Linked DNA regions of Pelodiscus sinensis. The protein of the gene in region 4 interacts with the protein of the main gene of each other region in a pairwise test. Links are inferred from orthologs where the notes say so. Each region holds a gene or a part of one and is shown on either strand. Other genes may lie near its edges. The genes, in order: VPS52; keratin, type I cytoskeletal 19; ZBED1; AIRIM.

Region 1 (7,963 bases), on a different chromosome or scaffold from region 4:
TGCGGAAGGAGTAGATTTTCTGCAGGACGAACTCCCGGATCTTGGTCACAGCCTGCAAGGGTGGAGGGGAGCACAAGGGGGGGGGGGGGGGGTCACAGACCAGAGGGTGGGCAGAGCTCAGTGACCCCCTCCCCCTGGCTGCCCACAACATGCATGTGAGCGCAGACCCTCCCAGCCTCACCTTGACCTTGAGCCGGTCCAGCACGTGGTGCACGTCGGCGCAGGCCATGGTCTCGCGGAAGGCCTGCTCCTTCACATAGTTGATCTTGTTGTTGAGTTCGTGCAGCTGCTCCAGGAACTCCTGCTCCGTCACTGGAGCCTCCAGGATGGTGCTGGAGGGGGGCAGGGAGACGGGCACCCCAGGGTCACACCTCCCCAGCCTGAGTGCTCTGCCCAGAGACACCCCCTCCACGGTTGTGGCCAGCTCTCCAGACCCCCCACATCTGGCCTTCCCCAAGGTGTCCAATCCATGACTCCCATTTCCCCAATAGCTGCAGCTGGCCCCAGCCTGTCCCTTCAAGGAGCCCTCCTCCCACCTGACCAAGCAGCCAGCCCCCAGCCCTGCCCCCACCTGAGCACGACCAACCCCAGCTCCTGCCCCACCTGACCACAGCAGCCGGCTCCCAGCCCCTGCCCCCACCTGAGCATGGTGGCCGGCACCACCAGCTCGTCCACCAGCTGGCTGAGCTGGCTGCGCACAGCCTGGCGGTTCTTGAGCCGCAGGTTCATGGCCACTGACTGCTCCTGCAGCGTCTGGATCTCGCAGCTGATGCTGCTCAGGTCGCACTGGAAGGAGCTCAGCATCTGTTCCATGCGCTGGGGGCGGGAGCGGAGCCGTCAGACTCGCAGCCCCCTCCTCCCAGCAAGGGGGCACAGGGGCCAAGGCTGCAGACGGTGATCGGGGGGGCTGGGGCGAGTCGGGGGGGCATCAGGATGTTGTTGGGGGACCCTGGGGCGGGGGGCTCACCTCTGGAATGGCATCACAGACCTGGGGATGGGGGGATACCTAGGAGCAGGGGGGCTCACCTCCAGGATGGCATCACAGACCTGGGGATGGGGGGATACCTAGGAGCAGGGGGGCTCACCTCCAGGATGGCGTCACAGGCCGAGACCTGGGGGCGGGGCTTCCCAAGAGGAAAGGGGGAACCCGGGGGCGGGGGGCTCACCTCCAGGATGGCGTCACAGGCTGTGATCTGGTTGTGCAGGGAAGTGATGTTCTTGCTTTCCTTGATGTCTGCAGGACACACGGGCGGCTAAGGAAATGGGGGTGCAGGCAGCAGGAAGGCTCTGGGGAGGGGGCTGCCCTTGGACACCCCTCTGCACTGACACGGAGAGAGACACCCCAGCCAATACAGCGGTACAGCTGGAAGTGCGGATGTGGAATCTCTGGGAGAGGTTTGACCCTGGGACTCGCCCCGGCCCGCGCCAGGGTGTTATGAAGTATGGCTATGTGCACACGAGGGCTGCGCGCACATGGGGACTGCGATGCGGGAGGTCACACCCCTGCCCTCCATCATTCCTGCACGTAAACCAGGCCCTGTTTTCTGCCTGGTGCAAGGACCTTCCCCGACATTGGGTCCTCCCTGCCCGGTGCCCGGAGAGCGGGGGGGCAGGATACAGTCCTTGATGGAGGCATGTTCGATGTGTCGCAGCTCGAGCTCCACCTGCTTGGAGTACTGCCGCAGGTCCACGCCCTGGGGAGAGAGGGGTCAGTCACCAGCTGGGGCAGGGCAGCTGGGCCCTGGCCCGGGGGTGGAGGGGGGACTTACAGTCTTCAGCGCCTCCTGAACCAGGGAGTCCTCCAGGTTGGCTTGGATGTGAACTGCGGGAGGGCAGACTGGGTCAGTACCCACAACAGTGCTCCCCAAAACCTGCCTCCCCATAGTGCCCCACCTCCCTGCATTCCCCCACCCTCCTCCAATCCCCTCATAGGCCCAAACTACTCCTGGTGTCCCCCACCTCACGGCTTCCCCCCCACCTCTCAGTGCTCTTCCAACCTCCCCTGTTCCCTCTCAGATCCCCACCTCATGCCTCCCCCCCGCACTTCCACAGATCACTTGCCTGCCCCCCATTGGCTGCGTACGCTCCCTGCCCCAGCACTTACTGTCCACTTCATCCAGGATGAACTCATCAGAGGTGAGGTCCAGGTCCCCCAAGTTCAGCTGCAGCGACTGCTCCTCGCCACACCCCTAGGGAGAGCAGGTCAGGCTGTTACGTAGGGGGCCGGGGGGACTGCGGGGGCATGGGCAGGCACAGCGCAGGCCAGAGGCTGCAATACAGGGCTCCGAGTTACGGGGTGTGGGCTAGGGGTCACACGGTACATCACACCGTCTCTAGGGAGTTGGGGGCCCGGCCAGGCCAGCAGCTCCGCCCCTTGCAGGGGAGCGGCAGGAGCCAGGCTTGGCGCTGCCTCGGCCCCCAGCTCACCGCCGGGTGGGCTGCGCCTGGGAGGGGGCGCGGGACAGTCGCACTCACCAGGGGCCACGGGGGGGGGAGCCGGCAGCCCCCCCCGGGTGAGTCTGCCAGTCCCCGCGTCAGGGCTGGGGGAGCACAGGGAGGGGGGCCAGTGCAAGGGGTGGGGTCAAAGGTCAGGGCACCAGGGGGGTCAGAGGTTACTAGGTCAGGGGTCACACAACAGGGAGGGGAGAGCAGAGTGGGGATGGAGGGGTCATGCTGGGGTCAGGGCGCACCTAGGTCTGGAGGTCACGGGGTCGGGGGTCAAAGTTCACAGAAAAGCGCCCGCAGGCGGGGGGAGCAGTTTGGAGCCCGGGGGGGCGGTTCCCCCCCGGGCCAATTTTGCATGGACCGGAAGTGGGTGCCGGGGGACCGGAAGTCGGGCGGGGGGGCACCTCACCAAGCCCTCCTCGTCTTCCATCTCGGCGGCCCGCAGCCCCAACTCCTCGTCGGGCCCCAGCGCCGTCATCGTCCCCCCCTCCTCACGCTTCCTTCGCTACCGCCGCTTCCGGGTCTCCAAGGGCTCACTTCCGGCCGCACGCCTTGAAAAACTACAACTCCCATGATGCACCGGATGGGGCGGGGTCGTACCGGAAATGGGGTAGCAAAGCCCCCCCCCAGGGCACGGAAGCGGGTGATTACTTATGAAAATCCCCCCTGGAGTTAAAGGGAGTCAGCCCCAGGGGAACGGAGGGACATAACCCCCTAGGAACCATGTGTCATGGGTCAGGTTTCATACCCGGACGGGACTGATTGTTGCACAGCGTGGAAGGGGCTAATTTACTGGCACTCCGTGTGAGGCTGACCGGAAGGACTACGGGGAGGACACGGAAGTCTGGTTTTCTGCCGGAAGCTGTCTTGCCCTGACCGGAAGCTTATCTGCCTCTAGTGGGCGGGAGCTTGTATAAGAGGCTGCACGTCACTTCCGCTCCCTCTTCCGGCTGGGGCGAGACTGGAGCGCGAAGTCTCCGCCATGGTGAGTGCGGGGGGGCTGGGGGAATCTCGGTTCATCCGCCCCGGGGAGGGGCCCCGGCAGGCCGGGGGGGGGCTCGTCCGTGAGGGTGGGGCCGGGGCTCTGTGGGGCGCCCCCCATTTCCCGCGGGGGGGCCGGGGCGGGGGCGCCAGTCGGGGTCCATCCGCCCCGCGAGCGCGCCCCGGGAAGGGCGGGGAGGCCCGAATTGGGGACTCCCGGGGGGCCGGGCCGGGGGCAGTGGATGGGCCCAGCGGGGCAGAGCCTGGTGCCTGCTGGCTCGTCTGGGGGGTGGGGGGGCTGAGGTTTGTCCGTTCTGCTTGCTGGAGGGGCTATGGGGCTCCAGGGGGGCTGGCTGCTGCCGGAGCCGCTTAGAGAGGAGTGGGGTAGGTCTGGGGCCGGGCCATGCACGTGGGGGTGTCAGGGGTAGGTCTGGGGCCGGGCCATGTACGTGGGGGTGTCAGGGGTAGGGGTAGGTCTGGGGCCGGGCCATGCACGTGGGGATGTCGGGGGTAGGTCTGGGGCCGGGCCATGCACGTGGGGGTGTCAGGGGTAGGTCTGGGGCCGGGCCATGCACGTGGGGGTGTCGGGGGTAGGTCTGGGGCCGGGCCATGCACGTGGGGGTGTCAGGGGTAGGTCTGGGGCCGGGCCATGCACGTGGGGGTGTCAGGGGTAGGTCTGGGGCCGGGCCATGCACGTGGGGGTGTCAGGGGTAGGTCTGGGGCCGGGCCATGCACGTGGGGGTGTCAGGGGTAGGTCTGGGGCCGGGCCATGCATGTTGGGATATGGGGGGGCTAGGTCTGGGGCTGGGCCATGTACGTGGGGGTGTCAGGGGTAGGTCTGGGGCTGGGCCATGCACATGGGGGTGTCAGGGGTAGGTCTGGGGCCGGGCCATGCATGTTGGGATATGGGGGGGCTAGGTCTGGGGCTGGGCCATGTACGTGGGGGTGTCAGGGGTGGTTATGGGGCTGGGCCATGCATGTTGGGATATGGGGGGGCTAGGTCTGGGGCTGGGTCATGTACGTGGGGGTAGGTCTGGGACCGGGCTATGCTCGTGGGGATATGGGGGGGTAGGTCTGGGGCCTGGCCCCCTTGTCCGTCCCCATGCACGTGGGGGTATCAGGGGTAGGTCTGGGGCCGGGCTATGCTCGTGGGGATATGGAGGGGTAGGCCTGGGGCCGGGCTATGCTCGTGGGGATATGGAGGGGTAGGCCTGGGGCCGGGCTATGCTCGTGGGGATATGGAGGGGTAGGTCTGGGGCCGGGTTATGCTCGTGGGGATATGGAGGGGTAGGTCTGGGGCTGGGCTAGGCAGGGGGGAGTATGGGGGCTGTGTAGGCCTGGGTTAGGGCAGGTGAGGCTGTGAGGGGGCATTAGGTCTGGGATTGGGCCATGCAGGTGGAGGCATGGGGCTAGGCTGGGTGGGCCTGGGTTCGGGCGAGTGGGGAGGTTGCTGGGGAGGCGGGCCTGGGGCCAGGCAGCAGGACATATTGGGGGGTGCTGTCGGTAGCACCGGGAGGTCTGGGGTTTGTGTGCAGCCTGCCCCCACTGGGAAGGTCGGCCGGGGGTGTTGATGGGGCGTATTGGGGGGGGGGTATTAGAGCGAGCCCAGCTCTCCAGTGCTGACCCCTCTATTCCCCCCCCAGTCTCTTGTGATCCCTGAGAAATTCCAGCACATCCTGCGAGTGCTCAACACAAACATCGATGGGCGACGGAAAATCGCCTTCGCCATCACCGCTATCAAGGTGAGGGGGGCCAGGGTACCGCCGCTGGGGAGCACGGCCGGCTGCCCTGGGAACGTATCCGAGCGCCTCAGCCTGCCCGTGGGGTGCTCTGCTCGGGGAGGTGGGGTTCTGCTGTGAGCCCCTGTCAGGGTGCTTGGGGGTCCAGGGCTGACCCGTCATGGCGGAGCAGGCAGGGTGCTGCACGGCTGAGACGGACAAGGGGGCCAGGGTACCGCCGCTGGGGAGCACGGCCGGCTGCCCTGGGAACGTATCCGAGCGCCTCAGCCTGCCCGTGGGGTGCTCTGCTCGGGGAGGTGGGGTTCTGCTGTGAGCCCCTGTCAGGGTGCTTGGGGGTCCAGGGCTGACCCGTCATGGCGGAGCAGGCAGGGTGCTGCACGGCTGAGACGGACAAGGGGGCCAGGGCCAAAAGCAGCCGTAGACATGGGTGATCCCCACACTGCGTGGGGAACAAAGCCATCTCCTTGCGTGGGGTGCAGGCGAGGCTGGGGGTTCGGGGGGGTTAAACCGGGTCTGTGCTGTCCCCCCTTGTGGCAGCTTCTCCCATGCTGGTGGGGCTTCCGCTCTGTTCGGCGTCTGAGACAGAGCTGCTTTGGGGGGGATGCTGGGCCCCTGCCCTTGGCCCATGCTAACATTTCGCTCCCCCGTTTCCAGGGCGTGGGCCGGCGCTACGCCCATGTGGTGCTGAGGAAAGCCGACATTGACCTGACCAAGAGGGCTGGGGAGCTGACGGAGGACGAGGTGAGGGGGCTCTAAGGGAAGCTGGCATTTCGGGGTGAAAGTGGTATGGAGGGGCTGGGGTTGAGCTCTATCTGGGAGGGAATGGGATAGGGAGGCTGGGTGGGGTGAAGAGCCGTGGGGTAGCTCCGGGGTGACCCCATCTCTGCCCCCCACAGGTGGAGCGTGTCATCACCATCATGCAGAACCCCCGTCAGTACAAGATCCCCGACTGGTTCCTCAACAGGCAGAAGGACGTCAAAGACGGGAAATACAGCCAGGTGAGAGCGGGGGGCTGGGCTTGTTCCAGCCGCAGGGGCTGCTCTGGGGTTCCGTAGGCAGCGGGGGGCTTGGGGTGTGCTGGGCGCACCAGCCCATTGGGTGCGCTAGGAGTCTCGCAAGTCACTGCGTATCCCAGTCCATGAGCGAGGAGACGTCCCCGTGATTGGCTTGCGGCACCCTCTGCCCCGGCTGTGGGTCAGTTCAGTGGCGATCCAGGGCTGATGATCCAGGCTGAACTAGCTCCTGCTGACACCGGCCGGGGATCTCCCATCTCTGCTCTCCAGTGATCATGCTTCAGGGGTTGATTATCCCAAAGCTGCTCCTGCAGGCCCCTGGCTCTGGCCGGCCGGGGCTGCTCCCTGGCATAGGCGGGGAGTTGGGCTCTGATCAGTCTGGCTGTTCCTCACCTGCCCTCCCCCACGTCTCTCACCCTCAGGTTCTGGCCAATGGGCTGGACAACAAACTGCGCGAGGACCTGGAGCGGCTAAAGAAAATCCGGGCACATCGGGGCCTGCGCCACTTCTGGGGGTACGGAGAGGGTGGCGGTAGAGCAGGCTGCTGAGTTGGATAAGGGGACGGGAACTGGGCACAGACTTTGCAAGTGGGCTGTGGGGGTGGGTTATGGGATGATGCGGAGCTGGGGGGCGGATCCATAGCCTGGGGAGTCATGCCTGGAACTGGGAGTGGTGGTTGGGGGGCAGGACAGGCTGGGGTCTGGTCCCATCTCACCCCCTCTCTTTCCAGGCTGCGTGTGCGAGGTCAGCACACCAAGACGACCGGGCGCCGGGGCAGAACCGTCGGAGTCTCCAAGAAGAAGTAGAATTTGCCCCCCTGTCTGCAATAAAGTGCTATTCTCACAGCTGCTGCTTCGCTCTGTGTGGGGGGCTAGGAGTCAGTGACTCCAGCAGGGAGAGATGGGGGGGGGCGTGTCAGGGTCTGAGTGGAAGGGCTGTGGGGAGACGCAGAGGTGGGAAAAGATCACTCTGGCTTGGGTTCTATGCCGCCATGCAGGGGCGCCTGCCCCAGTGCTAGGTCTGGAAGCGTGCCTGAGGGGGCTCTGACAACCCCCCACATTCTTGTGCAAACAGCCCCCCTCTTATGCTTATAAGAAGCACAGGGGATCTTTCTCGGGAGAAGGCAATACGCTGCATTTACTGAGAATACAGTAGGAAACCGTCTCTGCCTCAAACACAAGCCCCCACACCTTGTCATTGCTTAGGGTTACCAGTCTTGTTCGCATTAACTCACTGGCCAGGCAGGTTACGTGCGCGGGGGAGGATCGGGGCCTTTTCTCAGTCTGGGTGGCTGCTCCGATTTTCATGACACCCGGAGATTTGTTCAAAACGCTCCATCTTTGATAGGACTTTCCGTCCATGCAGGTCTATGCGTTTTGCTTCATCAGTGCTTAATCACCATCTGTTCTGCTTAATATCTGTTTATCTGGGAGTTCTTCACTGACATCAGTATGTTGGGGTCTCCCTCCCAGTGCTATTTCAAGGCTGTCTTGTTTGTAACAGCACTTCGTAATGTTCCAAGGCTGTCCACTTGTCCGCCATCTACGTGTTTTGTTGGTCTTTAAGGTGCTAGCAGACTTTGGATTTTTTGTTTGTTTGTTTTTCATGTCCTCCCATCGGTCTGCTTTGTATTGGACCCAATTTATGCTACCTTGATGCCTCTGAGTCTTACAGCCCTGCCCCCCTTCCATGGTCTGGATTTTGGAACTGTTGGGCCTACAAGTTCTCTCTAAATGATTAAATTCCAAACTCTTACTAGCACATCCCCTAGGAGTTGTATCAGCC
Region 2 (7,351 bases), on a different chromosome or scaffold from region 4:
GGATATTTAAATCCCGACTGCATTTGCATTTCCAGAAAAGGGGTCCAGTGTAGACACAGCCCTGGAGTTTCCATACTTCAGAATTCGGAGTGAGTCCTGTATTACACTATGGACAACCACACAATGAGATTGATTTACTTATTTTTTTTCCTATACCTCATCTGACAAATTTACTATAAAAAACACCTTATAAGGGGTTGGGAAGGAATTTCCCTCAGGTCAGACTGGCCTTATTAGGGCCCCAGTAGCAGCTGGGAAGCCACCAACAAATTCCCCATGGCTAAAACTGTGGCATGAGGCCCATGTTAGCTGGTGGCCCCATTGGGGGCTGAGATGGGCTGGGGCATCCGACCAGGAGGAAGGGTGCAGGAGCTGGTGGTGACCTTTGGGAATCTCACCTTTCTCTGAAATATGCGGATGCGGGTCACTTGCAAGAATTATCTGGATATATCTCACTTTCTCATTTCCCTGCCATTGCAGGACATTAAGCATTGGTCCCTCCAGTTCTCCGCTTGTAAAATATAATAATCTAGTCTCCTGTTGGCTGTAATACTTAGCTCTAATTTTTATTTTTGTTTACTGTGTGCATTTTGGGTAGTGTTGTGGCACATGATTTACAGAATGTCCGAGTAGGTGATCTGGTAGTCTCATGTGGCCTGGGAAAGCAGGAGCTGCCTACTTTCATGAGCTGGAAATAAACAGCAAGAGCACAAGAGATTTCAGATTAGATAATTTAATCCCAGTGCTTCTTTTTAGGAGATTGGAATCAGTGCATTGTGCGGTGAGATAAGCCCAGGGGAAAGGAAACTGCATGGATTGGGTCATGAACTCTATGCTAAAATTGGAAAAATAAACTTTAGGTTTTCCCCATGAGATAAAGTGTTTACACAGATCAATCAGCCATCATGTATATCTTCTAGGGCGTGAACTACTCTGAATCAGTTACTGTTCACTAAAGAGTTTGCTAAGGCATAATAAATCCTATAGTTATATGATTTGTAGGCACTTAATTTAGTTAATGTCTCCTGTTTCTTTTTTAAGTACATTTTTAAATACTTCTTCAAAGTTCAAGCTCAGGAGGCAAAATAAAAAGGGCCAGAAAAATCTGTGTTGTGTTAAAATTCTGAAGTGCTCCAGTTCACATGTGCAAACCCCTCTATTTGGTCCGTTCTTATTTTAACTGTAAAGAGATGAGTTCTCTTCTCCGATAACTGTTAAAGCAGTGCGCGCACTGGCTGTCCAGAAGCTTAAACAAAAGCGTATGATTGGTAGGTGACTGCAGAGATAAACAGTTATCCACGGTAGTTTTACAAAATTTAAACTAGTGGTCACCAACCAGTAGGTCGGGAGCTATTGTTCGATCTTGGAGCCTCTGACAGGTGATCCTGACTGGTTTGACCAACAGGCTATTAAGTGCCGGCACTTCACCTGCCCCTTCCTGAACTGCTGCACATCTCCTGCCCTTTGCCTTGGAGCTGACCCGCCACCCCCACCCCAGGCCTCCTGCTTTATTTGCAGGGCACGGGAGGGAGGGAAAGGGTGCTGATGTCAAGGTACCTTCTCTCCCATTTGGTATCCTATCTCCACAGAGCAGAGAGGGGGCACAACAGGACTTGGGATGGAGTTTGCTGGCTGCATTTTGGGAGAGGTGCAGGGCTAGGACAGGGTGAGCCTGCCTTACCTGAGGTCAGCAGTGCCCAGCTGGAGCCCACATCCCAAACTCCTACCCCAGTCATGAACCCCCTCCTTCACCCTAACCCCTGCCCCAGCCCTGAGCACCCCTGCAGCCAGACATCCTCCCAGAGCCTGCATCTAGAACCCCCTTCTACTTCCCAACTGCTTGCCACAAACCCCTCTCACACACCAAATCCCTTAATCCTCTCACACACCAAATCCCTTAATCCAAGACCAGAGCCTGCACCCCAACCCTCTGCCCCAGCCTGATGAAAGTGAGAGGATGGGGGAAGGAGGGAGGACAGAGTGAGCAGGGGCGGGGCCTCGGAGAAGGGGCACAAAGGAGGCAGGGTAAGGGTATTTGGGTTTGAGGTAGATCTTGAATTGCACTTCAATTCAGAAAGTGATCTTGTGCTTAAAAAGGTTGGAGACCCCTGATTTAAACAGAAGTGTAACACAGCCATTTAGCTAACAATTTTAATAGGAGATACATTTCATACTGAACATTGCCATTGTCCATCTTTTTTGAATCACTTCCTACCCACATCACTTTTCTACTCTTCCATAATCCACCATTCCTTTTGGCTAAATATCTACTGGGGCTTTTCTTTTCATTTCTTATTACATTTCAGAAATGCAATGGAGGCCAAATATGTCTTTCATAGTTACACTATAAAACAGTTATTATCTGCAAATAATTTTCTTTCAGCTGTTAAAAGCAGTCACACTATATGTGTGTTGTTTTAACAAATATTTTGGACTACCCTTAGATGCTTCTTAACAAACTTTAACACCAACCTTGTCTCGAAGATCTTCAATAGTTTTGTAATATAAGCTGTAGTCATGGGCTGGCCCTGGTCCTTGTTTCTGGTACCAGTCTCGGATTTTAATTTCTAGGTCAGAATTTGCCTCCTCCAGAGCACGTACTTTGTCGAGGTAGGATGCCAGACGGTCATTCAGGTTCTGCATAGTTGTCTTTTCGTTTCCAGAAAGGAGGCCATCGCCACCACCAAAGCCACCACTAAAGCTACTGTATGACCCCCCATCATATCCAGCACCCAAGCCACCTCCGAACCCAGAAGAGACAAATCGAGCAGTAGAGACAGAGATATCCCTGCCACCAGATCCCCCATGGACACTCGGAGTCCCGAAGAAACCAACAGCTCGTCTGGCTGAGGGACCACTAAAATTACCTAAGCCCGAAGAGGTTATTTGCTTCAAGCTGTAAGTGGACATGCTGAGTAAATATCAAGAATCCTACTCTAAGCACAATTCACACAGTTTGTACTCTGGAGGTAGGAGTGAAAGACTCTCACTCCGACCCTGCGTCTTTTATGCTTGTGACAATGGGAGTTGTCCATAGAACATGATATGTAAGCACTGTGGAATTCATCAGCCCTAAGCTTTTTGCCAGCATTGAAATTCTTCTTATTGGTCAGTTGACATGAAGTGGGCTGTGTCTCTTATCCAAATACTTTCACACATACCAGATTTCTTTTTTTCCCTCCCCTCTCTTCCTCTTCAGACAAAAGGTGTGTGTCTTTCGGCTCAAAGAGACTTTTGTGACTCTACAGTGATAGTTTACTTCTACGGAAACAAAAGACCTTTAAGCACACACTCTTCAGCAAGGTACAATGCCTCCTTTGTGGCACTTTTGTGAAGACTCCCACAAGGTAACTGAAGGTGTACAATGAACAGTAATGCACTTAGTGGCTGTTAGGCTGCTCATAGAACCTTGTATAAAGGGAGCCCAGATGACAAACTGCACTGCAAGGAGTGAGCTTTGGAAAAATAGATTCCCACACTTACCCGCCTTTTTTGTTACTTCTCCTGTAAATTCCGTCTTTGGATAAAAAAAAACGTTTGAAGCACAAGCTCTTTGCTCTCAGTTCCTTCTGGGAGGACAACTGGACAAAGGGTTTGATTGTGGAAATGGCTGACATGAAAATATCTGTTTCTTTTCTAAATATGGCAAGTCTCTTTCAGTGGCCACGGTTTGATTTATTTTCCTAGCCTTAATTCATAGAATTACAGGACTGGAAGGAGCCTCAAGAGGTTAGTAGTCTGTTCCCAGCACTCATGGCACAATTAAATATTACCCTAGCCTAGATCATCCCTGACAGCAGTTTGTCTAACCTGCTCTTTAAAATGAGGGGAGAGGGAGAGCTCAGTGGTTTATGCATTAGTCTGCTAAAGCAAGAGTTGTGCGTTCTAATCCTCAAGGGGCCCTTTAGGGACCTGGGGAAACCTGTCAGGGATGGTACTTGGTCCTCCTGTGAGGGCAGGGGGCTGGACTCAATGACCTCTCAAGGTTCCTTCCAGCTCTATGAGCAAAGTATATCTCCAATGATGGAGATTCCACATCCTTCCTTGGCAATTTATTCTAGGGCTTCGCCACCCTGACAGGGAGCTCTTCCTATTATTTTTCAGATAATCCATGGGTTCCCAAACTGGGGGGCATGTCCCCCCTGAGGGGACATGATGAAATTCCAGGGGGGGGTGGGCATGAGGCAAACCAGCTCTCCCTCCCACAAAAAAAATGTTGCTGCTATTTTTGTTTTTCAGCCTGTCAGTTCTCTCTTTTTTTTTAGCTTAACCAGTTTTGCTGCTATTGGGGGGGGGGGGGGCATGATGGTTTCTCAAAAATCAAAAAGGGGGCGTGATGTCAAAACGTTTGGGAACCACTGCTTTAAACCGTCACTGTCTGAGCATTTCTTGTGTGAGCCGATCAATTGATCATAAACTCATGTGTCACTTTGCAAAGGGCAAAACTGGCAGGAGAACAGCAGCAGGTGGAGCAGTATCCTTTGACATTAATGAAATCGGTATTTCTAAAATGTGCGAAAATCCTTTATTATCCAAGAATTGGACAGAAAAGTCTTGCTGTTGGTGCTTCTAGCATATCTACAGGCCTCCCTATCAGCTGGGATTTTGCTTCTTTTTCTTCTGTTGCTTCCCCTCAGCCCCATCCAGAAAATGTTACTTAGAGAATGACAGGAGCAAGTGCACTAGCGTTTTGCATTGCTGTGGATCAAGGCCTCAACCGTGATCAGTCCCTACTGGGAACTACCTGGATCAGGGCCACAACCCTCTTCCCAGCCTTTCCTGCCCCAGCACTCAGCTCCTGCCCCTCCCTCCCAGCACTTTCTGCCTGCCTTGGATTGAGTGGCATGCAGGAGGCACTTGGGAGGAAGGGGGAAAGTGTGGGCAGGAAGAGGTGAAGGAGGTCTGAGAAGAGACAGGCAGGTGTGGGAGGGTGGAATTGTTGGGGTGAGGGTGGGGCCTGCAGTGGAGCAGGTGTTGAACACCCCAAGGCAACTTAGAAAGATGTCCCCTGTGCACTTTGGGTACAATCCGTACAATACAAAAATAAGAACACGAGAGAGAAACCAAACAAAATACCCACTCCAACTCAGTGCCTGTGGATGATTCTCACAGACATAGTGAAACGCAGCAGGTGTTTAAAAGTGTGCAGCAAAATTATACACTGCTTGTCCAGTTTAATAGTACCGGCAGTTCTGCACGCTATTTCTTCGCCAAGTTTCATTGGGACTCAGATTCGAGAGGACAGAAATTTGAATGAACAGATCTATAGATTGTAGCTAAAGCTACAGTCTAATTCAACAAAGGCTTGTATGCTAGCTGGGCTTGTTTTCTTCCTTCTTGCTTGTTTTTATAAGTCTTTTTCAAACATGTCACAAGATCAATCACTGGCATTGTTGTTTTGAAGGCTTGTGATTTACGCTTATATTTAAAAAAACCGAAAAAACAAGGAGTCCTGTGGCACCTTAGAGACTAACAGATTTATTAGAGTATAAGCTTTCATGGGTAAATTTCACTTCATCAGATGAAATAAGGTAGAAGTTACAGAAGCAGGAGTATATATAAGGAAAAAGTTACTTGTGTTAACAAAGCTTATCAAGTCAGGGAGAAGTGGGTCATTCACAGCATTTGGTGTGGAGATGTGAATATCCAGATGGGGAAATTGCTTTTGTAATACCTTAACCAGTTTTACTATTTCTATTTCGTAACGGATCTAAGCCATTGTTAGGACTCCTTTTGTTCATAATATACATTAAAAACTTCGTATTGGTCCTGGGTCTATCAAACATGGATATTTCCTTAATGTCTTTAGCTTCACTCATCAATTTTCTATACTTCATACCTTCTAGTTTATATTGATTGCTATTTTCCCTTTTTCCATTTGCTATACAGTGGAAGCTTTGTTATCCAGCACTCTGTTAACCAGAAAACTTCGTTAACCGGCATTGCTCCCAGTCACAATACTGTCACATCTTCAGGCGCACAGGCATGGCTTGGTTTACCATGACTGGCTTAACAATTTTTTACGTAAGAAGTACTAATCATCTTTAACTCAAAATAGAAATGTGAGATCATCTGCCTCCCACTACAAAACTACCAATATTAAACACTTGAGTTTTACTATTATTGTCCATTGGTTTTTCCTAGGTTGATGGGACCCTCAGATAACCAGAATTTTTGGATAACCAGAATGCCCTAATCCCCGAGAGTGCCGGATAACACAGATTTTACTGTATATTGCTTTTTCATTTCTAATTGCTGCTTTCATTTTGCCAGTAAGCCAATAGTGATTTAATGATGATACATAAAGAGCAAATACCTGTACATTAGATGGCATAATTACATAGAGTTGATAGTGATATGGTCACTGAGCAGTATTTCCCAAAAGTGGGTCCCAGCCCAGCTGTGGGAAACCTGTAGATGTGTTACCATATCTAGGGCTTGATTAACCTTGGCCTGGGCAAATATACACTTCTTCCAGCATGGAGGAGAAACATGGTGGGATAGGGTAAGTTGTGGTGCAAATCCATCTGGCACTTCCCTCCCAGCAGCAGCTCCAGTTCTGCATGGCTGGGCCTGGTTTTCTGCTCCGTGTGTGCCTACCTGGCTCATGTTACAGCACCAAACTTGAGTGAGTCTGTGATCCTGTGCATCATGTCACCATGCTCGGACTGAGGAGCCGTGACCAGCCCCATGGGATAGAACAGTGTTTCCCAACCAGGGTTTTGCGGAACCCTGGGGTTCCACAGACCATCGTCAGGGGTTCCGTGAGAAACCGTGGAATAAATAAATACACTTTTTTTTCTTACAATGTAAGCTGACATATATATATAACGGCTCTTGACAAATACATTTTCTTGACAATAATTTAGTAGTAATTGAATTGAGCTCCCTGCTGTCAACTTTTTCTAGCCAAGCAAACGTTTTCATAGGAAGGGGTTCCTCGGGATATGAAAAATTATTTTAGGGGTTCCTCCATGAGAAAAAGGTTGGGAATCACTGGGATAGAAGGTACCTCAGAACCTCAACTCTCATGGCCTCCTCTCCACACTGGGCCAGGATTATAGTTGTGGTACCGGAGTAGAAAGTACATATATGTAATGGTGGGTTGTAACCAAAGACAATTAGCAGTTGATGTGCTGCCTTAGTTAAAGTTGTGAATCACACCTCTAGAAGCAGCACGGTTGGATTCCTTTCTCTCAATATGGGCTACTGTGTTGAAATAGCTCTCAAAAGATTGTGGTATAAATATAGAGCCTTTAGGAAGAAACACTGGTGACAGTTTTGCCTACAAAAGATCTGAGTCCTCCTCAGCCTAGGACAGGAAAAACCTGCCCAACAGGATCCAAGTGTG
Region 3 (7,122 bases), on a different chromosome or scaffold from region 4:
TTCTTGCGGAAAACAGTACTATGCTGTCTACACTGGCCCTTTTGCGCAAAAGTCTTTCGGAAAAAGACTTTTGCCCGAACGGGAGCAGCATAGTTTTTCCGGAAAAGCACTGATGATTTTACATGAGATCGTCAGTGCTTTTCCAGAAATTCATGCAGCCAGTATAGACAGCTGGCAAGTTTTTCTGCAAAAGCAGATGGTTTTGTGGAAAAACTTTCCAGTCTAGACACAGCCATGCTGATTTTTGGCGATGTGGTTTGTCAGTGTAGCTGCGATCAAATAAGTTAAAAGTCCTTTTCCAAGAGCATTGGGTGTGAAACTACAACTCTTCCACTCTCTCCTTCCCCCCAAAGTTTTTTGTGATGTCTCTCATGATAAGGCAACTGATATTTGATTTATGTATCTTTTTATTACCAAAAATTGTATTTTGAGAATTGAGGATTACAAGGGATAGAAAAAGCTTTCAACTTCTGTATTTCAAAATATTTTTAGTTTACTAACTTCTTCACACAATTATTGATGTATTCCAATAAAAGCAGATCACTTATTTTTGGCTCTGGACATCCAACACTCCAGTCATCTGAAGAAGTGGGCTGTGCCCACGAAAGCTCATGATTTCATGTTTTGTTAGTCTTTAAAATGCTACCAGACTATTTGTTGTTTTTTAAGTTTATCCTGTACAGACTAACTCGATTACCCCTCTGAAGATTAACTATGTCAGTTATAAAATGTACTTAATTATTTTTATATTTTAAAGTGTTGTTTTTATCATATTGTAATCATACTGAAATGTTATCTAGACTAGCCTACTGTCTATAACAAAATATTCTTGTTGACAAATTGTTTTTAAATCAGTGTTTCAAACAAATTATTTATATTTTCTGATTTATTAATGCTATTAAAGATTAAAATATTATAAATGTTTGGTTCAAACTTTGTCATATTTCTGTTCAGTTTTAAATTATATTAAAAGCATTATTACACACATGAGGCATAATACACAGCTTTAATCTGCCAAGAAAAACTAATGCAAGAAGAATGCTCAGCTGACATAAAACTGTAGGCACAGATCTGTTTTGTTTTTTTTCTTTTTGGCATGCTATATGTTTTTGAGAATGAGAAAGCAAAGCCCAAATTTGCATTAGTATTATTAATATTGAAAAAAAACATTACCCAATGAATCCATAGGTGGAAATCTGTTATGTCCTGTCTTTGCATTAATTTTACAAAAATTAATAGTTATCACAAATTTATTTTCTCTTCTCCACAGTACCTCAACTATATAATCTGTTGATTTGGACCTCATATTTTAAATAATCTCATTGAACTGCATTCATACATCTACATTTTTATTATTCTTGTTAAAACCACCAACACCTCCATAAGAGCCACATTTGAAGCTAGTCAGAGAAAGAAAGTAAACTGAAGCAAACTAGAGCAAAATTTTACAGAGTCTCATGATTCTGTTGCTATTTATATAGTTTTCAGGCCTTCACAAGCTGCAGAGAGCTCTTAGAAGCACCAACAAATTCAGGTGTTTTTAAAAAAATCAATTTGTTTTTAAATTTAAGATACCTATTGCGTTGATATCTGGCCTGAGGGGATTCCCAGATAAATCATTTCTGGAAACCCTAAGCTTCCTTCATAGACACCTAATGTGGGGAAACAGATCATCATTAAGTTTTCAGTTGACCATAAAAATAATTTACAAATGTAACACAAAATTGTCAGAAAAAGAGCTAAGCTAAATCTCTACAGAGCAAACTGAATGCCAACGAATTGTCACCTTATATGCTGGCAATTAATGACAATATATATTCTGAATTCAGAATATGAACACCAACACTCCCACCAATGCCTGGGGAAAAAGAGAAGACTAACTGTCTATGAGAGTCTAATTCAGTGAAGAAATTCACCACTGTCAAATGCTGGAGGCGTAACTTAAGTGGCCAGAAGAGTGCAGGAATAAAGCCAGGTGAGCAAGTTTAATGGAGATGGAGGAATTTACTGGAGTGGTAGAATTCAAAAGTAGGGAAGGAGAAACAAGAGGGCTCTAGTCTAGTATCTTGGTGTGGGATGGAGCCTGAGGAAGGGAGCCAGGCAAAGCAGCAGCTTTTAGCTCAGAATGTAGGTACAGCAGCAGAAGTTACTTGGTATTGGTGAAAGGTATTATCATGGGGATAAACCTAGAAGGAATCGCCATTGGAGCACATCACAAACACTAATCAGTTCTCAAAACCTATGGGGGGCCGTGACCTGAGGCACACCCGGATCAAAAACCAGGCCTGATCAAGTCTGGCAGAGCGTCTGGGGCATAGAAGGGAACCGAACCCAGAGCTCAGTCTGCCCAGTAACTTAACCACGATGCTACTTTTCATGGTAGGACCAGCAGCGGCGAGAGAGAGATGCAAGGACCTGGCTGGGGGCTACCGCAGCGGCCGGTGCAAGTCCAGCAACGGAGAAAGCGGCGACTGTCTGGGTCTAGCGAAGGAAGCGGGGCCGGCACAGCAGCGAGGGGGCGTGCGCAGGTGTCTCCCCCGGCTGCTGAGCTCGGGCCGCAGCCGCCTGGGGAAGGGGGACGAGCAAGCGCAGGAACCGCCTGCAAAGTCACAAGGGGACGGGCCCAGCGGCAGCAGCCCGGGGCAAGGCTGGGGCGCGCTGCGGGGGGGGAGCAGCGGCCAGGCCCAGGCCCGGCGGTGCAGCAGCCCCGGCAGGGAGCTGTGGCCCGGGGCGCTCACAAGGTCAGGCCACGCGCCTCTTCCCCCTCCCCCAGCCCGCGCGGGGAGGAAGCGGGGCAGGGCGGCCGGGGAGAGCGGGCTGAGTGCCCGCAGCGCTCCCCCTTGCAGCGCCGGGCGCGGGCCAGCTGCGCGCTCTCACCTGGCGCGGGGGCCCCGCCGGGGCGCAGGCGGCGCAGCAGCTGGTGCAGGCTGACGGCCAGGCCGGTGCCGTAGAGCCGCAGCGCGGGCAGCGCCCGAGACAATAGCGACATGGCTGCCTCCGGCCCCTGGGCGCGGGGAGTGGAGGGGACGGGGCCCCGGCGCGCCGCCCTGCGCTCGCGTGTCTGTGTCCGCTCCCGGGCCGGGCGGGCGCGGCGCTGCAGAGCCCACACCCAGCGGAAGGGAAAGCGCCGCCGCTGTCACTGGCTGCACCGCCCGGACGCGCCGCCGCTCGCTTCTGGGCATGTGCGCGCCGGGGCGGGGGCAGGGGAAGCGGCCCCGCAGCCCGGTGCCTCCAGAGGCGCCTTGGGCGCCGAGCGGGTGGGTGGGTGAGTGGCGGAGAAGCGCGGGTCAGACGGGGCCACCCGAGTCGGGGAGAGGTGCTGGCAGGGAGGCAGGAGCCAGCTGGCTGCGAAAGGGCTGTTTGTGTATTTGCTGAGGAGTCAGGCTGGAGAAGCGAGCAGCTGGAAAGTGACGGGATCCTGGGGGTGCCTCCCGAAAGGGAGCTTCGGTCCAGTGGGACCCCACAGCCATATGAAGGCGGCCAGGCCGGCTGCTCTTGTGTTATACAATGTGCGACAGATAGCTTTGACATCGAGGGCAATGAACCGTGCAAACAACATTGCTAAGGGTTGTGGGGAAGGATCCATCACAGGCAACTTTTACATTAAGATCGGATTTTTTTTAAAAAAGCATGTCCTAGGAGTTATATGAGGAAAAGTTTCATGACCAGTGTTACACAGGGAGTCAGACCAAGTGACCACAAGGGCCCCTTCTGTAATTTGACCTGGAGAAACTGAACAATGCTGCCCCCATCACCTTCTTAACCACTCACCTCCCCACTCTACCTCTTCTTTTTTGCCTCTGTTTGTGACCATGTGTTCCATCATGATCTATTATAATGTTGGAGTTTATTATCTTACACATCAGTCTCCTGCAGACAAGATTGTCAAGGACTTCCAAGATCATCTAGTCCATGCACACGGATTTTAGCAGCTGCACTTTAAAGAGATTAGAGATTTCCAGGGACCAGAGTATGGGAGCCCAGAGACAGGGAGGTTATAGTAATAAAGGCAGAAAATTAAGAGGATCTGGACAAGAAGTCTAACTGTGTGGACAGAAAGAGTCACATTGTAGAAGTATCTTGGAGAAAGAAGAGGCAAGAACTGAACACAGTCTGGATTTGTAGGATAAAGGACAGGGAAGCTTCAAAGATGATTCCCACATTATAGATTTCAGTTACAGAGACAACAGCAGTGTTAGCAGTGACAGAGGAAAGAGAATAGAGAACATTTGGGAGGAAAGAGCAGAGGTTAAATTTTTGCTCTGTTAAATTTAACATCCGTTCTACTCCCAGTCTCACCTAATGGAATTTCTGTAAATCATGTAAGCCTCAGGGCAACATCAGTGACTCACTAGCAGTAGTTGTCAGTATCTGAAATGGAGCTTCCTTTTAGTCAATTCAGTGATGCCATTTTTATATATAGTTTCTGTTACTGTGGAATCTACTGTAAATATCTACCTGGTAGAATAGATGGTCATAGCCTATTCTAAGCTGAACTAACGTGTCAAATCTGCTGTGTCATTATAAAGAGTTAACCAAGTTATTCCACTAGTCTCCAGCTCTGAGACACAAGTTGGTGACTTTTGCCTAATAAAACAAGCTTTGATCATTTCAGGCAAAATTTGTGGCATCTTGAACACCAGACACCCTTGAGTTATCTTTTTTTATTGCAGCAGCCTAAGTAGAAGTAAAATATACAGAGTAGGAGTAAAATATACAGATTTTAAATTTATTTTGCCTTCTAATTTGAATACCATTTAACTTTAAATCACTATTCACAAGTTTCTACCAAAGCAGACAACTAAATTTCATTTCAGCCATGTGACCAGAATATCTCAATATTTTATAGAAGTAAGCAGCAAGTTATCCTCAGCTTTTGATTTTAAATCTTCAGTTAATTTTACATGATTGTCACTTGAGACAGAATGGCAAAGCCTGCATTCTTATATGTCATAAGTTGAAGGAAGCAGCTAATCAGAAGTCTTAAATTATTAATAAATAATAACACTTAGCACAGATCTCAAGTGGCTATATAAATATAAATGTTATCTCCAGTTTGCATATCAAGAAATACAATGAGTTAAGATGATGATAATTTCAATAGAGGTAGTCTTTTACCAGTATATTTAACTAAGAATAAATTTTTCTCTCTTTTCTTGTTTTTTTTCTTTCAAGAATGAGATCTTCTGGTCATCATGGCTATTTCTCTGAAAACATCTGTTTCATGAGCATCCGTCAAAAAATAACACAATGTAAGGAATCATTAAGAAAGGGATAGATAATAAGACAGAAAAAATGTCATTATATAAATCAATGTTAAATCCTTGCATCTTAAATACTGCATTCAGTTCTGGTCTAGCCATCTCAAAAAGATATCTTGAAACTGGAAAGAAGTACAGAGAAAGTCAACAAAAATGATTAGAGATATGGAGCAGCCTCTATCTCAATGGAGATTTAAAAGGCTGAGATGGTTCGATTTTAAAAAAGGAGACAACTAAGGGCTTAGCTATACTTCTAGGGCTGCACCAGAGCAGATACAGTGCTTAGTAAAGATGCTACCTGCTCCTTTTGGTGTGGGTACCTCATCTCCCAAAGGTGTAACTGTGACAATAGGGGAAGCCCTTCCATCAATACAAGCAGTCCCCGGGTTACGTACAAGATAGGGACTGTAGGTTTGTTCTTAAGTTGAATCTGTATGTAAGTCAGAACTGGCGTCCAGATTCAGCCGCTGCTGAAACTGACCGCCAGTTCTGACTTACATACAGAATCAACTTAAGAACCCCAGGCGTCCCCAAGTCAGCTGCTGCTGAAACTGATAAGCAGCTGATTCCAGGAAGCCCAGGGCAGAGCAACTCTGCCTGGGGCTTCCTGTAGTCAGCGCTGGTCAGTTTCAGCAGAAGCTGACTTGGGGACGCCTGGGGCAGAGCAGCTGGGGTGCTGCTGGGTTGCTCCAGTAGCGCCGCTCCTCGGTGCTACTGGACCAACCCAGCAGCACCCCATCTGCACTACCCCAGGCGTCCTGATTCAGCCGCTGCTGAAACTGACCAGCAGTGGCTGAATCAGGACCTGGGGCAGAGCAGCTGGGGTGCTGCCGGGTTGGTCCAGTAGTGCCCAGAGCGGCGCTGCAGGACCAATCGGCAGCGCCCCAGCTGCTCTGCCCCAGGGTCCAAAACAAAAGCCTGGTCTGCTGGGGGGGGGCACACTAGCTGCGCCCCCCCCCCCCCAGCAGACCAGGGACACGGGGAGCAGAGCCGCAGCGGCAGCGGGGTGCCGCGCCTCTGAGGCTTTGCTCTGGCAAAGTCTCAGAGGCGCAGGACCCGCCGCGGCTGCCACTTCAGTCCCGGTGCCTGTGGTCTGCTGGGGACCGTCCAGGGGCACCGGAGCAGGGGCACCGGAGCAGCTTACGAACGGGGCTTTCTCGCCCTGGAGCTCGCAGGTAGCAATCCGCCACCTCGACCTCCAGGGCGAGAAAGCCCCGTTCGTAAGTGCGGATCCGACGTAAGTCGGGGACTGCCTGTATAGCACTGTCTACACCAGGAGTAAGGTCAGTATAACTGCATCACTAAGGTGCAATACAGTTATATCAACATACATTTGTAGACTGGACCAGGGCTAAGGAGGAATATGTTAGAAGTCTATAAAATCATGAAGGGCATTGAGAAAGTGAATAAGGAAATATTATTTACCCCTATACATAATACAAAAAAGTCATCCAATGAAATTAATAGGCATCACATTTGAAACAAACATAAGGAAGTACTTCACATAAAATAGTCAACGTATGGAACTCTTTGCCACAGGATGTTGTAAAGGCCAAAAGGATAATTGGGTTAAAACGAATTAGATATGTTCATGGAGATTAAGGACATCAGACTTCCAGAAGCTGAGACTGGACAATGGGGGAGGGACCACTCAATATGTAGTGGATTACAGATCAGTATGGTTTACAGCTGGAAAATTAGATGAAATGATAATTTAAAACAGAAAAAATAAACACCTGAAAAATCATGATATCAAGGGGATTAACAACTTGAGCTGAGCAAAATAATTGTTGGTGGCTGAACAAAAAAGTCTGCAAAAAAAAAAATTTCAAGTTGACCTAAAACAGAATTTTTATTATTT
Region 4 (7,042 bases):
AAATTGTTGATGCCCATGCCCTAACATAATTTGACTATAGTGTGGGTTCTGGGGTGGGGCTGAAGATAAGAGTTTTGGGGTGTAAAAGGGGGCTCTGGCTTGGGGGGGGTCAAGGCTGGAGCAGAAGGGGCTTACTTTGAGTGTCTCCCCATCAGTGGTGCTACAGGAGTTCTAAGGCAGGCTTCCTGCTGCTCCCAACACCAGACCATGCTGTATCCCAGCCAATGAGTGCGTAGCGAGTGCTCGGGGCTGGGGAAGTGCACAGAGCCCTCTCCCACTAGGAGCCGAGCCTATTACTGGCTGCTGCTGGTGCACAGAGCAGTTTGCGGTGCCAGGACAGGCAGATAGCTGCCTTCGAACCCTCACTGGTCACTCTGCAGGAATGAGACCCAGTGCCTGACACTCCATGACCCAATACTGGGGTGTGACCCGTAGTTTGAAAACCATGGATAAAGAGCATGTTATTGAAAGTATGAACCAATTACATAACTTAGAGACATTGTAATTTGAAATCTAATGAATACTTTTAACTCCTTTAAATTATTAGGTATTACACATGGCTGAGACCTGCAGTTATTCTTGTGGTTTTACAGTTACCTATTTTTTTTAAATGTTTGTCCCACACAAATGCACATACTTCCCAGATTCTGTAAGAAAGACTGACACAAAATGAGGACAAGGCGTAAAAATGAATATTAACACTCGGCCAGATTCATAGCTATTGTAAATCAGCAAAGCTCCAGCAGGACTCAAAGGTGCTACATGGATTGACACCAGCTGAGACTCTGGCCCACCACATAAAGATGAAGTAAACAAACTGAAAGACAGAGAATAATTTTCATGTGTTATTATTATGTGTGTTAGGATAATAGCTGCAGCATTTCCAGAAAGAAGCGTGACACTTATCCCTTTGACTTGACTTATCCGCTCTCCTTCAGATGTGAACTCTGCAAATAGGCCAGACAGAGACATTCCAGCTCTCCCAGCATATCTGTCTGGGCTTTCATGATGCTCACAACTTTAAAGGTCTTGACACAACAGCCTCTTACACTTTGCCTCCCAGTTCTTCCAGCAGGCTCTCAGCTGCACAGCGCTGTTTGTACTTCAGCTGCTCTTCCAGATCTGGGAAACTCCGCAGTGGTGTATGAGCAAATGTGACCTTTTGGCAGGCCTGCATCTGCTCAGCCAGATTGCTGAGGGAGCTCAGAAGAGGCTTGCAATCCGTCAGCGCCTGCTGCCAAACCTCTTGCTGCTGCTGTACGGTGTGGAAGCACTTCTGCAGGGACTGACGGAGGACCAGAACGGCTGGGCTCTCGGACATCCTCTTATAGGCAGACCCAGAGTATAGCCCAGGATAGGCACCGCCCAGACACCTGCAATAAGCACACACAGGTTGTGACGGCGCGTTGGGGGTCCCCCGTCTCCTGCACCCCGAAATGGCACAAACATACTGCACCAGCCGGTGAAATAGAGGAAGTTTATTGCCTCTTCAGGATACAGCACAGCACAGATGTAATCTGGTCCCAGAGCTGGGCTAGGATGCCTCAGGCCCCCTTGAGATGGGGGGAGACTGGGCCCCTAAACTCCAGCCCCTTTCCCTAGGCTGTCTCCTCCATGCTCCCAGACAGCCACCAACTCACTCTCCTCCAGCCCTGCTCCCCAGCCAGGGCAGCCTCCCCCTTCCTTTGTTCCTCTCCATGGGGGGTGTCTGGCCACTGGTTTGCATAGTGACTCATCCTGTTTCGCTGGGTCGTGTACCCATGGCAGCCAGTGGGGGTTACCCCAGAGCCAGCAGCATAGAAACCAGCCAGGTACCCCCACTACGTCACACAGGTATAGAGGTTCTCCTGCCCCTCTGTCCATGCTCACCCGCCTGCCCACCCACCAGCGCCACTGACTGAGAAGCGCAGGCCTCAGGGGACCAGGCAGCTCCTAGACGAGAGTTTGCTTTAGAAACAGGAAACTGGGGGGGGGGGGGGGGCTTCTATTTATGGGGTGGACACATTTGAGGGTAGAGCCCCGCCCGAGTGGGGGGGGGGTGTCTCTACATGGGAGCCAACGGGGGCGGGGAGCAGGGCCCCAGGGGGTCTCCATGTGGGGGGAGGAGCATGGCTGGGGGGGGGGAGCAGGGAATCTGCATGAGGGGACAAAGGGGGAGGGGGAGCAAGGCCCCGGGGGGAGGGGCGGAGGGTCTCCATGGGGGGAGCCGGGAGAGCGGCAACCTGACCCCAGGGCCCACCCTTACCTGAGCCCCGCAACCACAGCGACGTCCCTGCCCCCGGCGCCTGCTGGGAAGTGTAGTTCCGCCCTACGGGCCGGAAATGACGCAGCCAGTTGGCGAAGCGGAAGTCTCCCCGTCGGCTCCGCTGCTGGGAGAGGTAGGGCGCGTTCGCCCTCCCGCCTCCCGCGGGCGGCCGTTGCCTGTGCGCGTGCGCCGCGCGCGCCGCCCCGCGCGCCTGATTGGGCGGCCGGGTTTGAATGTAGCTGCGGCGGCTCGCGCGCGTTGGGAGCGAGTTGGTCAGTGGGGCTGCGGGGCGCCGTGGGGCGCGGCTGGGTGGGGGCGGGGCGAGGTGAGTCCCCCTCTGGTGTGGGGGGGGGATGGTGAGGTGAGGGGACCCCGATGGGGGGGTAATTCTGAGGAGGGGGGTCCCGCTCTGCGGTGAAGGAATCGCGGGGCGTCGGGGTCCACTTTGCGGGGGGGAGGGGCGAGACCGAGCTGCGTTGGGGAAGCACGCGCGGGAGGGGGGGGACACCTCCAGACCCCCCCCTTCTGTCACGTGTTCCTCCCTCCTCCCCAGCAATGGCCCTACCCCAGGGCTTCCCAGCCTGCCCGCCCCAGTTCAATCACCTCCCGGTGTCAGCGTCTGGGGGGGTCTCGCTCCCAGGCTGCAGCGCCCCAGAGCCCTGTGGCTCCTTCAACGGTTTTATTTGGGCGCCCGCTTCCTCGGGTGCGCGCAGGGGGAGCGTCCGTTTGGCAGGGGTACGTACCTGGGTGGGAACCAGCCATTCCCAGGGGCTGCTGGGACTCCGTCGGATCGTGTCCATTTTGCATCTGAAGGTCCCGCTCCATAGTTTCCCCCGAAGTCTGTTTTCGAAGGTTTTTTTTTTGGCCAGGCCGGCAACTTGCAAGTCTGTTACTGAGCAGGAGCCATCGCTGTAAGAAATTGGGGCAGGGCAAGGGGTTCCCAGCCGGCTTTGTCTACAAGACAGAGGTGATGCGGATTGGGGCCGGGCATGGCTGTTCCTGACGCATCCTCATTCCAGGACAAAAGCATTGTGGGTCTGTTTAACTTCTTCTGCCCAGAGGCTCCAACCGGGGTCGGGAAGGAATTTTCCTCCAGGGTAGATTGGCAGAGGCCCTGGAGGTTTTTCGCCTTCCTCTGTAGCATGGGGTACAGATCACAGCTGGAGGATTCTCTGCATCTTGGGGCCTTCAAGTATTTGAAGGCTTCAATATCTGAGATATAGGTGAGAGGATTATTCTAAGAGGGGTGGGTGAGATTCTGTGGCCTGCACTGTGCAGAGGGTCAGACTAGATGATCATAATGGTCCCTTCTGACCTTAAAGTCTATGAGCCCTATGTTGTTCAGACAAGCCCATGCCGAGCTTTCAGCCCCATGCCACCTCTGGTGGAGCTACTGCCTGGTATTGGGGAACCACTCATCTGTCTGGGGCACCAATGCGTCGCTCTACGTTGTAGCTTGCTGTTGGCCTAGGAGCCCTGATTTTTCAATGAGGATAGAGCAGCAGTAGCTCCCAAAAGACTAGAGTCCTCTTGTCTCTAACTGGCAAGTGTCTCCTCCTTGTATGAATGCAAATGGCTGTTTCCGTTCTGCTACACAGATCTATCTGACACCATGGCACCATCCAAGAAGAAAACAAACAATGGTACCAGCAAAAACAATGTGAAAAAGAAAAAGCTGGCTGCATTTTTAAAGGACTTTGACTGTGAAGGTAACCATTCCACTCATTCATAAAACTTGTTCTCTACAAAGACTTTAGGGCCCTGAGTTGTTTTCCAGGTTAATTTAATGCATGTGAAAGTTATTGTCTTGACAACCCTGGAGACTAACACCTCAGAAAACTGAAGTGTTGTACAGGCAGGACAGATACAGCAAAAAAGCCAGAGCTTTGATCCAGAAGGATGACTTTGAGGAGTTTAAGAATGGTTTAATTCTAGATGCTCATGCAAACCTTGCCCTTTCTTGAGCGTCTGTGGTCGGGGGAGACTTGTTGTAAAGAGTGTGCTGCATTGTTGCTGTAGGGCTATCAGGAATTAAACTAAAATAGGAACTACTTTTCAGAGGTCAGTGGCAGCTGACAAATATTAACCATTGGGTGGTTGTCAATAAGATGTATAGAGAGACAAGATACGTAAGATATCTCATATTGAGCCAATTCTTGTGGGTGAGAAACAAGTTTATGTAAAGTTGTTCTTCAAGTTAGGGGAAATGTACTCACAATGTCACAGCTAAATACTAGGTGAAACAAATTGTTTAGCATAAGTGATTAACACACATTTCAAGGGACCATTCAATGTGAAGTGGCCATTAATACCTCTCCAGTGAGTTATAGATTATTGTAATAAGCCGTAAATCCAATGTGTGTCTATTTAGTTCATGATTTTTAGTATCTAGCAAACTTATGAATTTAAGTTCCCAGGCTCTTCTTTTGTAGGTGTTGTACAGGTTACCTTTGAGGATGAGGTAAGAGAGGTCAGACATAGGCTGATTCCTCTGCGAAAAGTGTGTGCCCGGAGGGAAAACAGTATTTTTGACTCTTATTATGTTTTGGTGTGAGTTCATTTTAAGTACATAGTGTTTGTCTGGTTTCACTGTTTCAATGTTACTGTGACACATTTACTACCATTGGGCGAGATACATCACATAGGGTGTGTCTAGACTACATGCCTCCTTCGAGGGAGGCATGTAGATTAGCCAGATCGGAAGAGGGAAATGAAGCCGCGATTAAAATAATCGCGGCTTCATTTAAATTTAAATGGCTGCCCCGATCTGCCGATCAGCTGTTTGTCGGCAGATCGGGGCAGTCTGGACGCGATGCGCCGACAAAGAAGCCTTTCTTCATCGGCACAGGTAAGCCTCGGCTTACCTGTGCCGATGAAGAAAGGCTTCTTTGTCGGCGCATCGCGTCCAGACTGCCCCGATCTGCCGACAAACAGCTGATCGGCAGATCGGGGCAGCCATTTAAATTTAAATGAAGCCGCGATTATTTTAATTGCGGCTTCATTTCCCTCTTCCGATCTGGCTAATCTACATGCCTCCCTCGAAGGAGGCATGTAGTCTAGACACACCCATAATGTGATAGACATGCTTACAAGCCATGGATTTTGAGGGGTGTGTCATTGCAGCACTGGAAATATGCTTACAGGTTTTTCTTTGTTGTGGCCGTGTCTGGTGCTGCTTTGAGTTAATGTCTTGGTCTGTGGAGGCCTTATTTCTGATGATGGGATTGGGGGATTGTATAAAGGCCAGAAGAGGGTTCAGAAAAGAAATCTTTCAGGATATCCCCATCAAGTATGGGTTGTAATTGTTTAATGATATCCTTTATGGGTTGTAGTTAGGGATGTAAAATCCTGTTTAATTGGTTAATCAATTAAATGGGAGCCGGGGAGTGGGGGCTGAGCTGGAGTGGCTCTCTTCCTGCAGCGTGCCTGGGCCCGCTGTGGACAGTGACTGCTCCGGAGTGCCCGTGTCCGTGGCAGGCCCTTGCGGGGCTATAACAGCTCCCCTGTCCATGCTTGGTGGGTAACTGCTCTAGCCCTGCACCTGTTAACCAGAACTGGTAAGCAATATCTGTTAAAGGTGATGCTTACTGATTAACCTTTCACATTCCTAGTTGCAATACAGGTGGTAGGTAACAATCTGTTCTACCTTTATGGAATTTTTCCATCAACCTAGCTAGTGCCTCTCGAAGCGGATTGCCTTCATTGATGGGTAAGGTAAAACCCTACTATTCCCTACTATTGGTATTAGGACTGTCTGTGCAGAAGCACTGTAGACATACTTTTATGCATTTTAATTAACTCACTTGGGATGAATGAAATAGATTTGATCAGAAAAGCGTGTTCATAAGGGAATAGATTTTTGCTGATGTTCAGAGAAACATAAATTCAAGCCTTGATGTGTAAATCCTAAATAATATTTTTGTTCTATATATTTGTTAATCGTACCATTTTCTTTTTTTCGTTTAGTCCAAACTAGAATTGATCAGATACAAACAAATGGGCGAAGTCTTCTCAAGGAGTTGGATAATCTTTATAACATAGAAAACCTCAGACTTCCTCTAGCACTGAGAGAGATGAACTGGCTTGACTACTTTGGTATGGTCCATCCATTCCCATATGTGTTGACAACATAATTTTGAGCTGTAACTGAGTTATGAGTTAAATTTATTCAGTTAGTGGACTTTGTTTCCCTCCCTCCCGATTATTTGGGCCGAGAGAATTGCCAGCCTCCTGGGCAAGGTGGGAAGAGACTGCTTCCATGCTCCCAGAAGGGCAGAGCTGGGGCAGCCAGCCCTCAGAGTCACCTGGAGAGTGCTAGATGGTGCTCCAGCAGCGATTAAAAGGGCCCAGGACTCTGGCCACTGCTATGACAGCGGTGGCCTAGAGCCCCAGTCCCTTTTGAATTGCTGGCTCCCGGGGCAACTGCTCCCTTCTTCCCATCCCCACCCTGTAGCAGGCCTGCATACAATGAATACGTAAACATAATTACTATTGATATTGTCATTGTTATCTATAATTATGTTATTTCTTTTATAATACATTGCATTTAAAGTCAGTATATTAGATACATTTATTTGTATGAAAGTGCTAAATCAAAATAAGACTTCACAAGTTTTTCCTTTGTATATCTTAAAGTCACTGGTACATGAGCCAATGTAAAGTGTGACACTGGATTAACTAGGTGTACAATCATGTGCTTAAAAATCTTTGGAAATAAGAAGAGGCAAATTGAATACCCTGTCCATATGGATTCATAAACAACCACAGATTTGTGGTTTAAGATAACTCTTGCTTTCA

What was found.
Region 1: the proteins of AIRIM (region 4) and VPS52 interact in binary tests that used the Homo sapiens proteins (3 or more experiments, as listed by UniProt). The two-hybrid records come from large-scale screens. The link is inferred for Pelodiscus sinensis from reciprocal best matches to the Homo sapiens genes AIRIM and VPS52.
Region 2: the proteins of AIRIM (region 4) and keratin, type I cytoskeletal 19 interact in binary tests that used the Homo sapiens proteins (3 or more experiments, as listed by UniProt). The two-hybrid records come from large-scale screens. The link is inferred for Pelodiscus sinensis from reciprocal best matches to the Homo sapiens genes AIRIM and KRT19.
Region 3: the proteins of AIRIM (region 4) and ZBED1 interact in binary tests that used the Homo sapiens proteins (3 or more experiments, as listed by UniProt). The two-hybrid records come from large-scale screens. The link is inferred for Pelodiscus sinensis from reciprocal best matches to the Homo sapiens genes AIRIM and ZBED1.

Annotation. Positions count from the first base shown.
Region 1 is NW_027465970.1:106,901-114,863, reverse strand, and holds the start of VPS52 (vacuolar protein sorting-associated protein 52 homolog), read right to left. Parts: upstream 3,010-7,963; 5' UTR 2,924-3,009; coding exon 2,855-2,923; intron 2,190-2,854; coding exon 2,105-2,189; intron 1,823-2,104; coding exon 1,770-1,822; intron 1,695-1,769; coding exon 1,619-1,694; intron 1,235-1,618; coding exon 1,086-1,234; intron 817-1,085; coding exon 641-816; intron 333-640; coding exon 182-332; intron 53-181; coding exon 1-52. Other genes in the region: RPS18 (small ribosomal subunit protein uS13), read left to right, coding at 3,428-3,430, 5,070-5,168, 5,820-5,906, 6,062-6,163, 6,601-6,692, 6,909-6,984. UniProt on the Homo sapiens protein: Acts as a component of the GARP complex that is involved in retrograde transport from early and late endosomes to the trans-Golgi network (TGN).
Region 2 is NC_134739.1:10,238,944-10,246,294, reverse strand, and holds the start of keratin, type I cytoskeletal 19, read right to left. Parts: upstream 3,010-7,351; 5' UTR 2,911-3,009; coding exon 2,473-2,910; intron 1-2,472. UniProt on the Homo sapiens protein: Involved in the organization of myofibers. Together with KRT8, helps to link the contractile apparatus to dystrophin at the costameres of striated muscle.
Region 3 is NC_134711.1:222,622,480-222,629,601, reverse strand, and holds the start of ZBED1 (E3 SUMO-protein ligase ZBED1), read right to left. Parts: upstream 3,016-7,122; 5' UTR 2,990-3,015; coding exon of another isoform or gene 2,878-2,989; intron 1,655-2,877; exon of another isoform or gene 1,576-1,654; intron 1-1,575. Other genes in the region: DHRSX (polyprenol dehydrogenase), read right to left, coding at 2,878-2,989.
Region 4 is NC_134735.1:10,126,081-10,133,122, forward strand, and holds the start of AIRIM (AFG2-interacting ribosome maturation factor), read right to left. Parts: upstream 3,011-7,042; 5' UTR 2,989-3,010; intron 2,981-2,988; exon of another isoform or gene 2,853-2,980; intron 2,571-2,852; exon of another isoform or gene 2,547-2,570; intron 2,518-2,546; exon of another isoform or gene 2,476-2,517; intron 2,379-2,475; exon of another isoform or gene 2,246-2,378; intron 1,374-2,245; 5' UTR 1,322-1,373; coding exon 1,050-1,321; intron 1-1,049. Other genes in the region: CDCA8 (borealin), read left to right, coding at 3,858-3,954, 6,212-6,340. UniProt on the Homo sapiens protein: Part of the 55LCC heterohexameric ATPase complex which is chromatin-associated and promotes replisome proteostasis to maintain replication fork progression and genome stability.